Linked DNA regions of Callithrix jacchus. The protein of the gene in region 3 interacts with the protein of the main gene of each other region in a biochemical or structural test. Links are inferred from orthologs where the notes say so. Each region holds a gene or a part of one and is shown on either strand. Other genes may lie near its edges.

What was found.
Region 1: of the proteins of MAP3K1 (region 3) and MAPK8, one has a biochemical effect on the other in vitro, tested with the Homo sapiens proteins (3 studies listed by BioGRID, with this or other methods). The link is inferred for Callithrix jacchus from reciprocal best matches to the Homo sapiens genes MAP3K1 and MAPK8.
Region 2: of the proteins of MAP3K1 (region 3) and MAP2K4, one has a biochemical effect on the other in vitro, tested with the Homo sapiens proteins (7 studies listed by BioGRID and IntAct, with this or other methods). The link is inferred for Callithrix jacchus from reciprocal best matches to the Homo sapiens genes MAP3K1 and MAP2K4.

Annotation. Positions count from the first base shown.
Region 1 is NC_133513.1:40,480,882-40,484,531, forward strand, and holds part of MAPK8 (mitogen-activated protein kinase 8), read right to left. Parts: intron 2,125-3,650; coding exon 2,066-2,124; intron 1,975-2,065; coding exon 1,836-1,974; intron 1-1,835. UniProt on the Homo sapiens protein: Serine/threonine-protein kinase involved in various processes such as cell proliferation, differentiation, migration, transformation and programmed cell death.
Region 2 is NC_133506.1:78,530,558-78,534,915, forward strand, and holds the start of MAP2K4 (dual specificity mitogen-activated protein kinase kinase 4), read left to right. Parts: upstream 1-1,444; 5' UTR 1,445-1,454; coding exon 1,455-1,569; intron 1,570-4,358. UniProt on the Homo sapiens protein: Dual specificity protein kinase which acts as an essential component of the MAP kinase signal transduction pathway. Essential component of the stress-activated protein kinase/c-Jun N-terminal kinase (SAP/JNK) signaling pathway.
Region 3 is NC_133503.1:152,985,551-152,989,200, reverse strand, and holds part of MAP3K1 (mitogen-activated protein kinase kinase kinase 1), read left to right. Parts: intron 1-851; exon of another isoform or gene 852-1,049; intron 1,050-2,639; coding exon 2,640-2,789; 3' UTR 2,790-3,650. UniProt on the Homo sapiens protein: Component of a protein kinase signal transduction cascade. Activates the ERK and JNK kinase pathways by phosphorylation of MAP2K1 and MAP2K4. May phosphorylate the MAPK8/JNK1 kinase.

The DNA.
Region 1 (3,650 bases), on a different chromosome or scaffold from region 3:
TTATGGCAATCAAGTGAACTCAGAACCTAGAAAAAGGCAACTTAAAAACAATAGGAAACTACCTCAAACCCATTAAGATGGTTACTATGAAAAAATAAAGTGTTGGTAAGGATGAGGAATAATTGAATATTCAAGTGAAAATATTCACTTGATTTATGGCAATCGAGTGAACTCAGAACCTAGAAAAAGGCAACTTAAAAACAATTGGAAACCACCTCACATCCATTGGGATGGTTACTATGAAAAAAAATAAAAGTGTTGGTAAGAATGAAGAATAACTGAATCCCTTCTGCACCATTGGTGGGAATGTAAACTGGTAGAGCTGCTATGGAAAACAATGTGGCAGTTTCTCAAAATGTTGAACAGAATCACCATGTGATACAGCAATTCTGCTTCTGGCTATATGACCAAATGAACTGAAAGCAGGGTCTCAAACAGATACTTGGACAACAGCTAAATGCAGAACCAACCCAAGTGTCCACTGATCGACGAATGGATAAGCAAGTATGGTATATACATAAATGGAATATTATTCAGTCTTAAAAAGGAAGAAAATTCTGACATATGCTGCAACATGGATAAATCTTCAGCTCATTATGCTAAGTGAAATAAGCTAGGTGCAAGGAGGCCAATACTGCATGATTCTGCTTATATGAGGTGTTTACAGTAGCCAAAATCATACAGACAGAAAATAGAATGATGGCTGTCAGGGGCTGCAGGCAGAGGAAAATACGGAATTACTGTCTAGTGGGTACAGAGTTTCAGCTTCACAAGATAAAAAGAATTCTGGAGATGGATGGTGGTGATAGCTGCTAACAAATGGTGCTGGCACAACTAAACTGCCACGTTTAGTGGCACATACCAAAAGCACAAGTGATGAAAGAAACAATTGTATTTCATTAAAATTGCAGCTTTTGTGCATTAAAGGAAATCATCAGCAAAGTGAACAACGTACAGAATGTGAGAAAATATTTACAAATTATATACTTGATAAAGGTTTCAAACATGGAATACATAAAGAAATGCTACAGTAACGACAAAAAGATAACTTAATTTAAAAATGAGCAAAGGGCTTAAATACACATTTCTCCAAAGACACACAAATGGCCACAAGCACATGAAAAGTGCTCAACATTAGTCGTTAGGGAAATGCAAAGTAAAACTACAAGGAACACCACTTCATAGTCATTAGGATGGCTAGAATTTATAAAGTCAGATAAATACCGGCAAGGATGTGAGGAAACTGGAACCCTCATACACTGCTAGTAGGAATGTAAAATGGTGCAGTCACTGTGCAAACAGTTTGATGGTTCCTCAAAAAGTTAACTAGAGAATTACCGTATGACCCAGCAGTTCCAGTCCTAGGTATATACCCAGGACTGAAAACAGATATTTGTGCGTGAATTTTCATAGCACTATCCATAATAGCTGAAAGGTAGAAATAATACAAATGTCCATCAATAAATGGATGGATAAACAAAATTGGTATATAGAATAGTATTCAGTCATAAAAAGGAATGAACTATTGATACATGGTGCAACATGGAGAAATCTTGAAAACATCATGCTATATTTCACATAAATGGAAATATACAGGCAAATCTATAGACACAGAAAGCAGACTGGTATCACGCCAGGACAAAGATGCAGAACTGCTAAAGAAATGTGAGGTCTTCTTGTGGGGTAACAAAAATATTTTTGAATTTAATGTGGGTGGTAGTTGTACAACACTGTGAATGTACCAAATGCCACTTTAGAATGGTTACTTTTGTTAATGTGAATTTCACCTTAATGAGAAAACGAAGGGTATATGCTGATAGTTTTTTTCTACTAACCCGATGAATAATTCCAGCGGAGTGAAGGTGCTTGATTCCACACAGCATCTGATAGAGAAGGTAGGACATTCTTTCATGATCTAGCTCCATCTGAATTACTTGGCAAAGATTTGCATCCATGAGCTCCATGACTATGTAACTTCATGGGTGAAAAAAGAGAACAGCTAAAGTGTCCAGCAGCAATCTAAGAAAAATGTATTAACTTAACAAATTTTAATTATTATACTTACACATCTTGAAATTCTTCTAGGGATTTCTGTGGTGTGAAAACATTCAAAAGGCCAATTATCTATGGTAAAAGCCGAGGGACAGAAAAATTAGAAATTACTTCCTAATAATTTAATTTGGGAACTACAAATACATGGGTTAAAAAAAACTAACATCAGTTTAAAATCTTTCTTTATATTCTAATCTCAAGTAATTGCTTTTATGTTACATACTGCCACTTTATGGGCAGGAGTTGGAGGAGGTAATGGATAGGTGGAGGTACAGAGGATGTGTAACCCATTTATCTGTAATTCCATTTATGAAGTCAATTATCAAGCACTTACCTTACATTATACAAATCTCTACACAATTTATCAGCAAATTTTAAATGCCTTCTACCAGTTATTTTCCAATTAAGTGTCCCTATATAATCTCAGCTCTTTCCTCCCTTGGTTTTTCATAATACTGCACTTGCCCAGCTTTCTTCATTCCCAGTCTATTTCACTGGCTCATCCATAAGCATATCCCTTCATTCCCACTACTGTGCTTAATCTATTTCTTTTCACTTTCTGCATAGACATTTCACAAATAAGATAACACTGAATTCATTTTCATTCCTACCAAAACCGCTTACTTTTTCAGTACACCCTCTCTTTTACAAAAGAAGGCTCAGAGTGATTTTTGACTCCTTTTTCAGTATCTGCACCATAATAAATACTCATAGAATGCTGTCCATTCTACTGTCAGTCTGACCATCAATCTCTTTTTTCCATTCCCTGTGCTATAAATAGGTTGAAGACTTCAACATCTTATCTAGACTGTTCATGCTGTAACTCCTTCTAACACTAGTGTTACAGATTGATTGTCTTCCCCCACACCCCTACTCCGCACAATTCATATGTTTAAGTCCTAGCCCCCAGTGTGATATTTGGAAATGGGGACTTTGGAAGGTAATAAGGGTTAGATTAGGTCATGAGCTTGGGGCCCTCACAATGGAATTAGTGGCCTAAAACAAGAGAAGAGAAAGAGCAATTTTTCTTTCCCTCTCTTTGAGCACACACTGAAGAAAGGCAAGTGAGGACAAAGTGAAAAGTTGGCCACCTCTAAGTCGGGAAGCAGGCCCTCATCAAGAATTGATCTTGACCTTCCCAGCCTATAGAATGGTGAGAAATAAATCTGTTAAGACACCCAGTGTACAGTATTTTGTTATGGTAGCCTGAGCTGACTAAGACAAGTAGGGTCACTAACGATGGTTTTATACAAATCCAGCTACCACTTACCACCTATAACATGGTAAAAGAAAGACCTGACCATATTACTTAACTCCTCAAAAATTTAAAGCCGACAAATATATTCTGAAACTCCCTTGCACTTGCAGTATATTAAAAAGCCTCCAAGATAAGCCTCAACTCACTTTATCTCCTGCTAAGTCCCATATTATACTTTAGCTAGCAATAAGTTTCAAAAATGTCATTTTAAAAATGATATTTTTAAACAAACAATTCTCTATGCTTATTATTTATCTACCGAACTTAATTATCTTCCAGATGAACCTCTTTGTAGATTCTGACAATCCCTAGTCCCTGACAGAGTTAACTATTCTACTTT
Region 2 (4,358 bases), on a different chromosome or scaffold from region 3:
CTCCTTCGAGGGCCTCACCTTTAGGATGCCCCAGGAGCATAAAGAGCAGGGTGGGCGACTGATTTCCTGATGGGAATCCAGTGATGTTTATAAGACCTGGACTTGGAGATATTTAGCAGTCAGCCAGGCACAAGGAGGAGAATTCCGGAGGCTCCCCACTTAAGTACTTAAGTACATCTACCTGCTCTCCCCTTCAGTTTGCCTTTAATGCCTCTCCACTCGACTTTTATGGCTAGTGACTTTTAGGATCTGAGCAATCAAGGTGATGGATGAAGTTGGGTTTGGAACAGGAAGGCAGAACTATTTTGACCTAGGATACTTTTCTAACAATCTGTGAGGAACTTTCAGCATCAAATAAGGTCTGGGTGGAAGGAGTTTGGGGAAAGAAGTCTAGGCATACACAATGCTTCTAAATGGCAGAAAATGTCCATCTCCTTGGCTTAGATTCTTTGGGATGTAGGATAGCTGGTCATTCTATTTTAGGCAAGACTGCCTGGCTAGAAACCCGTGTCTTCCCATTTCAAGTACATTATGGTTGGCTCTCAAATTCTAGTCTCACAGAGAACTAGTTTTCTTCGTTTAGTTGCTGTCTTCCTAAAATAAAAGTCTCTGTGCAAAGCAATGGAAGAAACCTCATATCGTTTTTTGGGGTTGTCATTTTATGTAACTTACAGTAATGACTATGGCTAGTCTTACACAAGATGTAAAGGATTTGGGGGCGGGAATCCAGTCTGCCTTTAGCGGAAGATGGTGATGTAGATAATATTATTTCAGGAGGCTGGAGTGTTGGGTGCTTAAAGATATGCTTCTCACATTTAATGAACATGTGAATTACCTGGCGGTATTGTTAAAATGTAACCTCTAATTCAGTAGTTTTGGGATGGCTCCATGGATAGCACTTTGGTTAGTGCCGCTTAGGACTCCCCCTTCCCCTCAGAGAAGTGTAGAGGGTTGGGGTATTGAGCTTAAGAGGAGTTCCAGACTGTAACCTAGCTACAGGTAACTTCCCTCTGGAAGTGGAGCGACTGGAGGAGAAAGGGATCCCTGGGATCCTTTTCAGCTTTACTATTCTGACTTTGGGTTCTGAGATTCCAAGAAAGGGGACTTTTGGGAGTCACATGCTTCCATGAGAATGATGAAAGCTGTGTACCCTCTCTCCCCACAAATGCAGAACGATTTTTAATTCTGCAAACCACTTTAGGCCCCGCGGGCCCGCAGCCCTAGTCCAACACGGCTTTCGGCTTCCCAGGTCCCGCACCCCGAGACCGGCGGTTCTGCAGCTCAGCATCTGGCGCGGGATACGCCTCCGGCTCGGGCGGGGGCGTGTCCAGAGGCGTGTCAGGCCGTGTTGGAGGCGGGGCCAACGCGGGCAAGCCGCGCCCCTCGGCCGTGCGAGAGGCCGAGCTTACTGCATTGCAGCCGCCGCGGCGCCGCTCGGCTCTTCACTCCCAACAATGGCGGCTCCGAGCCCGAGCGGCGGCGGCGGCTCCGGGGGCGGCAGCGGCAGCGGCACCCCGGGCCCCGTAGGGTCCCCGGCGCCGGGCCACCCGGCCGTCAGCAGCATGCAGGGTAAGGAACGCGGCCGCGCCGAGACCCCGGCCCCCTCGCGCGGCAACCCGCGTCGTCGCGGCCTGCCCCAGCGGACGGCCCCGGACCCGGCTGAGGAAGCTACGGCAGTCGCCGGCGTCTCCCTCTCTCCCTCCCCGGCTTCCCCGCCGCCTCCGGCCCAGCTTGGATCCGGGCTCTGGCCCGCACAGGCCCCGGCCTCGGCCTCTGCCTGCGCTTGGCCCCTGGGCCCTGCCGGGCTCCCCGCCGGCCCGCGGGGCCCACCTGGCCCGGGACCGCCCCCGCGGCCGCCCCCATCGCGCCCGCCGCTTACCTGGCGCCCGCCTGGCCCCGGTTTCCGGGAACGCGCGGGCCCGGGGCTGCGGCGGGGCGGGAGGGGCGTCGGGCCTGGCTCCCGTCCCTGACGCCGCTCAGGTAGGCGGCGGAGACAGCGGCCCCGGCCGGCGCCCCTCGGCCCGGTCGCCGCAGTGGGCCCGGCTCAGGGCCATCTTGGCTCTCGCCGGGCACAGCTGGAGCCAGACCACCGAGCCGACCTCGGGCTCGGCGGACCTCTTGGAACCTGCGTTTTGAAACTTTTGCAGGGTTTCTGTGCGCTGGAAGGGATGAGGGTGGGGGGCGAGTTGCTCAGTCCTGTGCCACCTGTAAGGTAGGTAGATAGGCTGCCATTGGCCTGGGAGAGGCATTTTGTCCCAGGCCAGGGATTTCTGTGTTAGCAGGAAGGGGGAGGAGGGGAACAGAAGACTGAATTCGGTTTAAAAAGAGAGATACAGGAAATAGGCAGGGGTCAAAGTGATACTGTCGTGTCTGGACATCTGAGGCAGCTCTGCTAATTAATGGCTTTGCCCACTGGGAATGCCTATTAACTCTGTATGGTTCTTGACAGGGGGTGTTGTGAAAATATCAGGCCCGAGCCTGTTGGGGACCATTTCCTTAAATTTACTGGGAAATTTTGAGTAGTAATGCTATTTTTAAGACAGGGAATTTCAGAAATCTCTTGACAACTTTAGCAAACGTCTTATGTTGAATTGGTATCAGAATAAGGGTCGGGTACCTTTGGTAGTCGGTGTGACCATGGTTACTTTTTGATTGCATTCTTCTTAAAGGGCTTCTTGTATTTAGTTATGTTCAACAGACATTTATTGACTATTTCATGTTTATAGAGCATGCCATAATTCAGGAAGAAGAGACATGATTTTGTTTATCTTTACACCCCTGTCACCCTCGCCGTGAGATAATTTTAATATACATAAAAACCAATGATAGATATATAGGCAGGATGATGTCAGAGCTTAGAGGACACTTTCTGTTCAGGCCTAAGATAATTCATTCAAATTGAATTAGTTATTGGATGCCACTGTGTTGTACAGCACATTATACTGATGAAGTATAAGATTGGCTTCCTGACGGGACAGCTACCATCTAGGTGATAGTGGGGGGGAAATGAAGTGGCAAAATGACAATTTAGGATTGTATTTCTTGTGCCAGATGGGTGACTTAAGCTTATAAAAAGAAGGTGGTTTGTTTGTTTTATTGGTGGGGAAGCTGACAGTTTGAAATAACTGGATACAATTTTTTTTTTTTTTTGGTTCAAAAAATATTTATTGAACATCTGCATAGAACTCTTATGCTGAGTTTATAGAGAATTGGACCGTCTCTTCCCTGATGGAGGTTATCCTCTTGTGAAGATGGGGGAGGGAAGGCTATTTAGCTAAACATGAAAAATTCCTAGTTGGGAAAGTAATAAAGTAACAAGCTGGGTTTTGCGGTAGAAGATAATAGAGGGCAGTCCGCTTGATAAGATGGTCAGGAAGGCGTGTCTGGAAAGCTAACTGTCTTTTACTGAAGGGCGGTTCTGGACAGAGGGAACAGTGTGTAAGAAGGTTCCAAAGCAGGGAAGGGCTCAGAGTGTTCTAGGAACTCTTAAGTTGTGTGGTTAGGAATTTCTCTGATGCTCTCCATTCTCCTCAAACCTTGTATGTTGATATCCAGTAAAGTAAACTTTCTAATAAGCAGAACGAACCCATTTTAGATGGGAAAAGGACTTAAGACCTCTCTTTGAATTATTGCTGAATTTTCTTTTGTATCAATATTGTGTCTAGGCTTAATTGATTCAGGAATTTGTTCTATCTTGTTTTTGAAACTTTTCATTTGTCAGAATGAAGAGAAGTGCTTGAAATTCTCAGGATCTTGTCTAGCACAGTCTAAGTTATAAAGCTTGATCTTAAGCAGCAATTTAGGATCTTTCTTTTTGTTTTGTTCGGTGAAGAGTCATACCTCCCGGCCAGGCGCGGTGGCTCACGCCTGTAATCCCAGCACTTTGGGAGGCCGAGGCGGGCGGATCACGATGTCAAGAGATCGAGACCATCCTGGCCAACACGGTGAAACCCCGTCTCTACTAAAAATACAAAAAATAACCAGGCATGGTGGCACGTGCCTGTGGTCCCAGCTACTCGGGAGGCTGAGGCGGAAGAATCACTTGAACCCAGGAGGCGGAGGTTGCAGTGAGCCGAGATTGTGCCACTGCCCTCCAGCCTGGCGATAGAGCAAGACTCCGTCTCAAAAAAAAAAAAAAGAGTCATACCTCCCATACCATACTTAATCTACCAAGGAACTCCTTTTCCTTTGGATCAGACTTTACAGAGTGGGCCTTAGAAGATGTTTGATGTACTTCCATTCCTTCTTCCCCAATCTGGTTATACTTGCCACTCAAAAAACTTCCATTCTGGGAGTTGTTAATGACCATGCTCTTTAAAACAGCAGGATTCAGTTGTGGGACATGAGGAATGTTTCAT
Region 3 (3,650 bases):
TGTTTTGTTTTTGAGACAGAGTCTTGCAGTCTTTGCTCACTGCAACCTCCGCTTCCCTAGTTCAGGTGATTCTCCTGCCTCAGCCTCCCAGGTAGCTGGGACTACAGGCACACACCACCACGCCCAGCTAATTTTTGTATTTATAGTAGAGATGGAGTTTCACCACATTGGCCAGGCTGATCTTGAACTCCTGACCTCAAGTGATCTGCCCACCTCAGCCTCCCAAAGTATTGGGATTACAGGCATGAGCCACTGCACCTGGCCTAATTCACACCCAAGTCAGTTCAGTTACTAAATCCTGTTCTACCTACCTTTTCATAACTCACAGATCCACTCTCTGCTTTTCCACCATAGAATAGGTAATGGTTGACATTTTTAGTAGACTTTTCAGTAGACATGAGATAGTTGAAATAATGGGCTTTGGAGTCACCCTGACATAGTTTTAAACCCTTAATGGCCTTGTGATCATAGGGAAATTATTTTTTGTGTCTACCCTCCATTTTCTCATATGTAAAACTGCTGCAAGAATCCTATGAAGCACATACTTCATAGGATTACCATGAAGATAAACAAAATTATGCCTAGGCCTTAGTCACTCAACCTACACAGTCAACTCCACCTGTCATCACCTCCTCCAGTCCTCCCCACACTTACTATAACCTCCTAAGTCACCTCTCTGACAATACCTGTTTTGTATTATTACCTCATTTCCTCTATTCTTTCGGACTTCCCATGTCCCTTTTCCACATGGATCAAATTCTTAATCGCTTTAAGGCCCATATCTCTGCTCCTCCTGCTTGGGCACCCCCTTCTTACTGCTTCCACAGATTCTGTAGCATTTTAGTACATACTTGTTTCTGACACTTTGTTTCTTGTATCCTAGTTAAGTTCCTATATTGCTTCCTTTTTCAAATTAAGTCTCCTTGAGGTCCATTCACATCTGCTTCATTTTTTTCCTTCCAGAGTCTTAAATAGAAGTTGCTCGATAAATACTCATAACTAGGATCAATTTGAAAGTTTGATGTCATTTTCAGAGTTTTGGTGAGCCCCTGGAAACAAATGGAAATGATTTTAAAATTGGCACCATTCATATTTTAACAGATTTCATTGCATTCTCCTTCATAGATAGAGTTTAAAGAGAATTGTACTATAATATTTTCCGTTTTCTTAACTTGGAGTAAATACTTTGAGGTCTTTGGAAGCACCCCAAAGAGACAGAAAAACGGCTTTCTCAAACACTTACATACCTGTTTATGGTAGTAAAAATTGCTGTAGCACATTTTTTTAAGAGAACGATTTGGCAATATCCAAATCCAAATTTGGATTTTGGCAAAATCCCAAAAAAAATAAGTGCCAGAATTTAAATGCACTTATTCTTTGACTCAGCTATGCCCATTGTTAGGGATTTACTCTAGATTACCTCTAGAAGTACCAAGTGCCAAGTTCAGGATTATTCACTCTACTCAAGAAAGTAATTAAATTATCCACACAATGTAAAACTATATAGAAATTAAATAAATTTAGTATAAAGCTGTTGGTGTTTAGAAAGTGCTACAAGATACATTAATAAGTGAAAAGAGCAAGATACATAAAGTGATCCTGGCCAGGCACAGTGGCTCATGCCTGTGATCTCAGCACTTTGGGGGGCTGAAGTGAGAACATAACTTGAGCCCAGGAGTTGGAGACCAGCCTGGGCATAGCAAGACCCTGTCTCTACAAAAAAAGAAAAAAAATTAGCTGAGCATAGTAGCACCTGCCTGTGCTCCCAGGTACTCAGGAGGCTATGAGGTGGAAGGATCGTTTGAGCCCAGGAGGTCAAAGCTGCAATGAGCCATGTTCACACCACTGCACTTCACCTTGGGTGACAGTGAGAGAGAACCTGTCTCGAAATTAAGTTTTCTCTTTTGTAGACATTTTAGAAAATCTAAAGTCTGTGAGATATATTGGCCTTTTTTTCTCCACATACACAAAAAAACCAAAAACACAAATCGTCAGAAGTAAGTGGTTACATTTGGGGAAAAGGAAAAGGGATTTCATTTTTTGTTTTGTATTTTCCCTTTTTGTGGTGTCTAAGATGTGTATGTATCAGCTGAGTATATCTTCATATAGCATCACAGACCTTATAGGATTTTTCTTTATATTACTTTGCATTTTTTAACCCAAAGCATTTATGAAATTATTGGGGTAGGGAAAGGAAAGAGTTTTCTTGTGATTAGGAGTGGGTAGGTGGGTTTAAAGTATTCAGACGTAAAATTTATTGAAAAGTCATTCTTCATAATGCATTTGATACTAAGAATTTGTCCAACATTGAAGGAAAAAAATCAATGCAGTTGTGTTTTCTGTGTACTAAATTGGCTATTCAGGTTTAGTCTTTCTTAATCTAAATAGCTGTCTATGCTGAAGAAATAGAAAATGTGCAATAAGAACAAACCATCTTTGTGGCCGAATATGAAAACAGAATTCATAGGAGTGAATACTTTCTCTACCTGAACATTGATAACAGAAAGTCCTCCCACTTCTGCTTCAGTTCCTCTCTGTTCAGGATATGAATATAAGGATGATGAGGTATATGCACATGTGTTTCTGTATCAGAAGTTCCAGTTGTGCAAAGCTTTAACACTCTGGCTCTTTCTCCACAGATTGCTAGTGCAACTACTGCTCCATCGATCCCATCACATCTGTCTCCCGGTTTACGAGATGTGGCTCTTCGTTGTTTAGAACTTCAACCTCAGGACAGACCTCCATCAAGAGAGCTACTGAAGCATCCAGTCTTTCGTACTACATGGTAGCCAATTACACAAATCACCTACAGTAGAAACAGGATGCTCAACAAGAGAAAAAAAACTTGTGGGGTACCACATCGATATTCTACTGGCCATGATGCCACTGAACAGCTATGAACAGGGCCAGTGGGGAACCCTTACCTAAGTATGTGATTGACAAATCATGATCTGTACCTAAGCTCAGTATGCAAAAGCCCGCAACTAGTGCAGAAACTGTAAACCGTGCCTTTCAAAGAACTGGCCCTACGTGAACAGGAAAACAAGTTTGCATGACTAAATGGCAGAAGCATAATTTTATTTTTTTGGAGCACTTTTTCAGCAATATTAGCAGCTGAGGGGCTCAGGATCTATTTTAATATTTCAATTATTCTTCCATTTCATATAGTGATCACAAGCAGGGGGTTCTGCAATTCCGTTCAAATTTTTTGTCACTGGCTGTAAAATCAGTATCTGCCTCTTTTAGGTCAGCGTATGCTATGAGTAGCAGTACATACATATATTTTTAAAAGTTGATAACTTCTTTATGACTCATAGTTGGCCTTTATTTTTAAATACTTGGACAATTGTGGCTCATTGTGCATTTTACTGTTGGCCCATTCATTTCGTTTTTGGAAATTATGGTTCTGTATTTTCATTTTTACAATTATTTTTGTTTAATATTCAGGGAAAGGTGATCTTTTCAAACCAGAAAAAAAAAAAACTAGATATGAACTAGAGTTCATTAAATATCTTGCTATTGTAAAAGTTTTTTAAAGTACAGACTTAATTTTGTTTTTTAAATTGGAATACAATAAAGTGCTACCTACATTTACAGTCACCACTCTTATTACTGTGCAGGTAAAATATAAGTTAACTAAAAATTAACTG